Linked DNA regions of Lepisosteus oculatus. The protein of the gene in region 1 interacts with the protein of each later gene in a biochemical or structural test. Links are inferred from orthologs where the notes say so. Each region holds a gene or a part of one and is shown on either strand. Other genes may lie near its edges.

What was found. The genes of interacting proteins can lie anywhere in the genome.
Region 2: the proteins of dlat (region 1) and pdhb form a complex in vitro, tested with the Homo sapiens proteins (2 studies listed by BioGRID and IntAct, with this or other methods). The link is inferred for Lepisosteus oculatus from reciprocal best matches to the Homo sapiens genes DLAT and PDHB.

The regions. Positions count from the first base shown.
Region 1 is NC_090718.1:15,306,541-15,310,290, forward strand, and holds the start of dlat (dihydrolipoyllysine-residue acetyltransferase component of pyruvate dehydrogenase complex, mitochondrial), read right to left. Parts: upstream 2,483-3,750; 5' UTR 2,289-2,482; coding exon 2,037-2,288; intron 865-2,036; coding exon 763-864; intron 594-762; coding exon 469-593; intron 33-468; coding exon 1-32.
Region 2 is NC_090699.1:56,371,861-56,375,610, reverse strand, and holds the start of pdhb (pyruvate dehydrogenase E1 component subunit beta, mitochondrial), read left to right. Parts: upstream 1-1,074; 5' UTR 1,075-1,134; coding exon 1,135-1,170; intron 1,171-1,264; coding exon 1,265-1,324; intron 1,325-2,429; coding exon 2,430-2,537; intron 2,538-2,643; coding exon 2,644-2,706; intron 2,707-2,793; coding exon 2,794-2,829; intron 2,830-3,170; coding exon 3,171-3,456; intron 3,457-3,750. UniProt on the Homo sapiens protein: The pyruvate dehydrogenase complex catalyzes the overall conversion of pyruvate to acetyl-CoA and CO(2), and thereby links the glycolytic pathway to the tricarboxylic cycle.

The DNA of each region.
Region 1 (3,750 bases):
TGTAGTCTTTGAAGGCAGGGACGAGGTCAGGGCTGCAGGGAGGGCAGAACGAGCAACAGCATGATGTCAGACACAGGCTGCCCACAAACACAGCAAGCAGGCAGGCAGGCAGCCCCACAGACCAGCTACTGCTTCTGCCCAGAGCCCTTCCTGGGGACACTCAGAACAGCAGGACCAGCGCTGGGCACTCAACTAAAATCCACAATCGCTCGCCTAAAAGCTCAGCAACTCTGCTTGCAACCCAAACTCCTGCAGTGCTTCGCAGACGCCACTCAACATCAGTTACAGACCGTTTCCAAATTCTCTGCAAACCTGTCTTGTCTGCCCATTAACAGCAGTGTCTGAGAAGCGATAGAGTCCTGAAAACTGCAGGATTAGACATCGGGCTTTTCTTCCCAGCTATTTTAAAGGCTACGATAGTTCTTCGCTGCCTGATCCAAGACAGGAAAGCGGAAACGGGAAGTTTACCTCTCCACAGTTATACAGATGACGGCACCAATGGGCACGTCCCTGGTTCCCTCTGCCACCAGGATCTTCGCCAAGTAACACTCCTCCAGAATCTCAAAGCCCACCGTGGCCTTGTCCGTCTCCACCTGGCGAGAGAGCGAGTGTGGGGTTAGAGCACGCAAGACCAGGGCGAGGCAGGTGTGAGAAAGGAGAGAGATGAAGGGAGAAATACAGACGAGACAGCATGGCCGACGGCTCTAATTGTGGGCCAGCACTGTGCAGCCACGGGACACAGGAGCAGTCCTGCACCCTCACCTCGGCGATCAGGTCCCCCTCGCTGATCTTGTCCCCCTCTTTCTTCTCCCAGCGAGCGATGGTGCCATTCTGCATTGTGGGGGAGAGTGCGGGCAGCACCACCTGCACAGAGCCAAACCACACCGTGACACAGAGACCTCCTCCTCCTCCTCGCACAGGCGCACTTACTGTTAAAGCGCGCATTCAACCTCTGCATCGAAAACCGCAAGGCTGCTCTCTTCAACACCCTGCTCATTTGTGTCCCATACTGCTGAGCGATTTATTTTGGGAAATTGGGCCATTTTATTTTAATGCAAAGGAACAAGTTAAAGGTTTATTCCATGCTGAAAAGAGAAGAAATGGCAGAGCACAGTGCAGGACACGCCCACAGCCCTGTCCAATAGGAGCCAGGGGCATGCACAGTCAGGTCCAGGACGCCTGCTCTCCACACACAGGGATGCCAAGACTAAGGCAGGGGAGCAGTGTGGAGGAGCAGTCAGGGCAAGCTGTGGGTTCGAATCCCCACTGAGGTACTGCTGCTTTACAGAGGCAAGGGGCTTCACATCAACAGACTTCTGTAACAATCCCAGCTGTCAAGGAGGACAGGACAGGACAGGTGTGCACTTATTTGAGGATCAAAGCAGAAAAAATGTGTTACTGGAAGTCCGGAACAACTGCAAAGCCAAGTCATTGAGGCGAATACTCCGGCATCATCCAAGACAAGTCTGGATGAGGTCCCCAGAAGATATTAGCAACCGAAAAACCACATGAGCTAGACGGGCACTGAACAGCTGATCATCAGAAGCAAACCTCGGAGCCTCTCTCTCAGGTGACCTAAAGGGACACCTGAAACAAGCCGTTTATGAGCCTGAACCGCAGGGAAAGAGAAGCTCACACTGGAGAGAATGCCCCGTGAGAAAGGTCAGCTCTCGGAGAGGAGCTACGGCCCGGCCCGGAGCCCAGCGGCCTCAAGCTGCAAGGTGACACGGACAGCCGGCCGCGCAGCGCGGAGCAGAAACACTCGGGACAGGAAAGCCTGCCGTTAGCGTTGCTAAGCAGTTACCCCGACTTAGCACCGTGGCGCAATTCGTGCCAAGCACTGGAAAGGTGGAACATTTATGTCTCCGTGAAAGAAAGTTTAGACTTATTTGGCAGCCTACACAGCGCCATTTTGTCCATTCCTAACGCTGCACCACACAGTTTGGGAGCTCTATACAGAAGCCTCTATAAAGATGCACACGCCCGCCCAGGTGGGCGAGCAGGAAACCGTCAAGCCCGTCTGGGAGAAGCCTTACCTTCTGGTGGGGCGGCAGGCTGTACAGCCGCTTGCCTTGGCAGCTCCGTGCGGACAGGTAACTCTGCAGAAACCCGCCCCTGCCGCAGGTAACCGCGGTGGCGTAGCACACGGGCCGGACCCGGGCCGAACCTCCGGAGTGGTACCTCCTGAGACGGCAGGACCCCGGCCGGGAGCTCATCCCGGGGGCCGAGCCGGGGCCGAAGCGGGGGACCCGCACCGACTGCCGCAACCGCACCGCCCAACGCAACATTCCGAGCTGCTCGCTTAACGGCGCAACACCAAGAAGTTCCCCACTCTGCAGAAGAGCTGGCCTTTTAATGCTTCAGAGCCGACAGCCTTAATGCCGCTCCGGTGTCCCCCAGTTTATAACGAGAGTCCCTCCCTCACTTTCCAATGACCTCCCCGTCTCAAAACATCTCGCTTTACGGCTTACCCGCAGCACCTAGGCTCCGCCCACCAGAGTCGTGTGAGGTCGTAAAGCACGCTGTCGTCAAGCAGCGCGTCTCTGCCTCTGCACAGGCGGGAGGGGGTGGTGTCGCTTTTTATAGGACTCAGCTTTTGCGACTCTGACCTCGGCGTCCTGTTGAAATACATTAGCTAATAACTACCCTACTGTGTTTCTCTGATATTGTTGTTTTAAAATATCGGTCTTGGTAGAGCTCAGTAACTCTACCAGTAACTAAAGATGTAGAACAGATCCCCTCCGCGTTCTCTTTTTCTTGCGTTGTGGTTTTGAAAAGAACCTAAACCAGTGAGCAGGCATACATCGATTGAAAACTGTCAATTCAAAATTGCGTTGCGGGATGGCATGAATAAAAAGTATCTTCTATGTATTCTATAAGCTATTGATAAGGCAGCTTATATCGCACGTGTAGCTGATCTAGATACAAGGTGAAACAACACAGAAATGTTCTCGAACATTGCGGCGTGACCTGGGTTCGATTCCGGTCGGGGGCACCTTTTGCGAGTTTACATGTTCTCGAGTTGTCGAGGATTTGTCTTCTCCCTTAATAGAGGGTAGATGCTGTTTATAAAGAACCAACATACGCTTTGATTTTAAGCAAGTAAAACCGGAAACACTGAGGCCCTGCAGGCAATACCGAGACTCTGTTGCAGAGCATCCGGCTCAACTGAATGTCCACGAGTGACAGAACAGCAGTAGTTCCACCTGTCGCCTCCAGGGGGCGCGCAGACACCGCTGTATAAACTGTGTGAAGTGGCCTGGGAAGCACCTTTAACTTCCTTTAGAAGTTGCCATGAAATATCGTCAGTGAAGTAAAAATTAAGGAACTTTTGCAGAATAAGCTGAACAATAACAGTGTGTCTTGGTTTCTTATGATGTATCGGACTGATTCTCGAAGCAGGCGTCTTGTGAAACGTCAGTGTCCCGGGTATCTGCCTGCGGTTCTGCTGGGCGTGTGAAGCAGCAGGTTCGAATCGAGACTTGTGCCAGCGAGCAGTGCAGTGTACGCCTCGTTCGCGGCTCTTCTGAAACACAGTGACAGCAGGGGGGCGTTTCTACAGAAACCAACCGTGCAACGCAGGCTGTGAGCACTCAGGCCAGAGGGACCAGACAGGCCCGTTTTTAAAAAACATGCACTGATGTTCTGCCTCTCTACTGCACACCTCCTTGTCAGGATACTCCAGGATCATAGGTGGCATCAGGCCTGGCACTGAGATGAGAATGACAGCGAAACCCAGGAGATAGCATG
Region 2 (3,750 bases), on another chromosome or scaffold:
TCCACTCAAAGCGCATTACAGGTAATGGGGACTCCCCTCCACCACCACCCACCTGGATGATGCGACAGCAGTCATAGTGTGCCAGAACGCTCACCACACACCAGCTCTCAGTGGGGAGGAGAACAGAGTGATGAAGCCAATTCATAGATGGGGATTATTAGGAGGCCGTGATTGGTAAAGGCCAATGGCCAATTAGCTTTCCCAGGAGGTGTCCCATCCAGATACTTCAGTGGGTTGCCAGTTGTGCGTTGTAGGGTGATATAGCTGCTCGCCAAATGTGGTGCAATGTTTGTTTGTTGTTTCAGGATTAAGACAAGTTCACCCATTATTCAATACTATACCTATCTACTTTCAGTTCTGACAGTTCTGTCACCCACTTCCCACAAGGCAATCTATATATGCAGTAACCTGTGTTACTACATTAGGAGCATCACAGAGGCTGGCCTTGGAACTATTGTGTCTTGAAATTTAAGTGCTGTTGGTTACATGCAGTGTCATATACTTCACTGCAAAATAACAGCTGAAACCAAATACTGCATAAATTCTGTGGCCAATGAAACTGCAAGCAGGTGGATGAGTTAGGCAATCATTAATACAACTAAGCTGATTAAAGTCTGGGTTAATTAAGAGATAAGGTAAGATAAGACAAGACTTTATTGATCCCGTAGGGAAATTGATGATTACCTTTAAAATAAAAAAGACTGTACTATTTTTCAAACATTTGTGCAACATTTTATGGACACCTGTTTGGTAGCCTATTTGTATCATGCCACAAAATGTAATTGCACACTGTGCAAATACTTTGTATTTTAAACATAGATATAGAGTATTATTACAGATTAGAGTAATATTATGCATAGATCAATTGTTGTCTCAAGCAACGCAGGGAGAAGAAATGTATTGCTCCCGAAACCGAACCAGCCAGCCTTAATTAAAACAGTGGCTCACATTGTCCTTGGAATGAATTCAATCTTTTGCTGTCACAAATTGAGACTTCCGCTTCCTTTACCGAAAGAAGGGCAGTGATTGGTTCTCTGATTTTCCTCTCTTCCAATTGACGCCAGTATCGCGCTCTGTTATTGGTTTAAAAGAGGGATCCAGGGGGCGGTGTTGAAGTTAGAGGACAGGTTCAAGATGGCGTTGTTTAGGAGCTTGGTTCAGTCTGGCAGGGTAAGGGCTTCTCTAAGGTTTTGTTATGGCTATTTGGTTATTTGAGTCGTTGCTTCAACTTGCGGTGTGTTTTTGTTTTCTCTGCCCTCAATAGAGCGTAGTCTCTGTGACACTGAGGAGGGAGTTTCACAGGACATCGCCGGCTTCTTTGCAGGTACTTTTCTACTTTATCCAAAGCCGCAGGAATGACGGGAGAAGGTTAATTCACCCAGTATATTCTATGCTTCCCCACTTCTGGTTGAAGCTAAGCTAACCTACATTTTGTAATGCAGGTTTACGCCTTTTGACAGGTTTTCTTGTGCGCTGTCACGGATAACTTTGACATTGTGAGGGACCTCTGAATTTGTGGGTGGTACCTTTCCGTTTTGTCTTGTGAGTAGGCGATAGGCTGCTTCAGTACGAGGAATCTAGAAACGCTTAATGTAGTAGTACGTAAGCCGGTAATTGAGGAATTCGAATGCCAGACGAGTACCAACTATGTATTGTACCATAAATAGCGTCTTCAATATGCAGTGTTAGTTGTGTTTAACATGCTTAATTCAAGCCTTCTGATGCCACTCGCTGTTTTGAGCAGATGAGTGCTAGCTTAGTTGCTTGTAATTTTTTTTGGGGGGGTTCATTTGATTTTCCTAAAGCATTAAGTAGGGTAAGAGGCTCAACTCTTTTTGTTGGCCTAAGGTTTTGTGATTTCCCCAGTTAAGCAATGTCCAATTATAGAACTAGTTGACCTGGTTTTCATTTTACATCTGAGCTTTGCCTTTTCTAGATGTCAATCTTGAGGCAGCTAATATTGGCTTTACAAATCAATATCCCCCTTGGTTCTGGTGTCTTTTGCATTATCCACTGTGTGCAGTGCTAAACATCTAGCAAATGCCTAATGCTGTTAAACGAAACCAGAGGCTGCTCTGGGTACACATTTCAGTATAAAATCCCAATGTTCCAAAAGTTTTGGTATGGTGGCTATCTTGTGTGCATGTACTTTGAATGCACCTTCCCTGCAAGGCAGGATTGAGGTCCCTTCAAGAGGATACAGATGTGTGTATGAAGATCTGCCACCAACTGGGCCAAATGGTCTCCTTGTTTGTAGGCAGAAATACTTTGCTTACTTTCTGACAAGTGACTATCTTAATTTGGCAAACTTCTTTGCTTTTTAACTTGTAAGTAGAACCTTAACTTGGGTTTGAGGTCTTTTAAGTTAAATTGGTATCTGGGACTTTCCTGTTGCATCATCTCAACCTAAGTAACCCTTTACCTTCAAGGTGACTGTTCGTGATGCTTTGAACCAAGCAATGGATGAAGAGCTGGAGAGGGATGAACGTGTGTTTCTGCTTGGTGAGGAAGTAGCACAGTATGATGGCGCTTATAAGGTAGGCTAACATCCAGAACCAGTTTGTGGAAATACATTTTGTAAAGGACTTGTGCCACATGGGTGTTGGACTTAATTGCCATTGTTACTGATTTTTTTTTTTATAGGTTAGCAGAGGACTGTGGAAGAAATATGGGGACAAACGTATAATTGACACTCCCATTACTGAGGTGAGCATTCTCTTCTTAAATGCTGATGGGGATTTTCTTAACCAGTTGCTGTTCATTATGATAATGTGGCATGTTACTGTCTTCTAGATGGGTTTTGCTGGCATTGCAGTTGGTGCTGCTATGGTGAGTTGACTTCTTTTCGTTAGAAGTCCATATGACTTAAGTATTGCTGTCATGTCTCTCTCCAACCTCCCTCATGCCTTGCTAGCCATGAACCCCTTGTCAACTTCAATTTTCTAAATGAAGAACAAATGGTATCCTTAATGTTGCATTCTGTAAAACATTTGCATCCATCTGTACCTCTACAATCTGAATGTTGGCCAATGACCTGTGTCTGATTTACTATCACTAGCCACATGTCTGTGAACAGCTTTGGCTGTCTGACCTTGGTGTTGAGGAAATGTGACAACTGGTATAAAACTGTCAAATGTTGACATGATGCCAATTTATTGATTTCTTTCCAGGCTGGCTTGAGGCCTATTTGTGAGTTCATGACCTTCAACTTCTCAATGCAAGCCATTGATCAAGTTATAAACTCGGCTGCCAAAACCTACTACATGTCTTCTGGTATACAGCCTGTCTCCATTGTGTTCCGTGGACCTAATGGAGCTGCTGCTGGGGTGGCAGCCCAGCATTCCCAGTGTTTTGCAGCTTGGTATGGGCACTGCCCTGGTCTGAAGGTGCTCAGCCCTTGGAATGCTGAGGATGCCAAGGGTCTGCTGAAATCGGCTATTCGAGATGATAATCCAGGTACTGTAGCTCTAGGGCATTAATGTTTTGTCCTCTTTACTCCCTCATTGGGCAGACTTTTTTTTTTAGGACTTTAATACTATGTTAACATGCTGTAAAAAAGCAGTTTGGTTTATACTCTTCAGCATTTGATATTAAGGTGATTTTTTTTTAGACTTATTTCAAAATGAAACTGTTAAAGTTGGCTAAGGAAATCTAAATCTCATTATGATAATCGGGATTGGTGGTTTATAGACCCCACCCTGAACTACATACAATGAGGGAAGGAATAGTCAATTTTAAGTGGCCTACAGA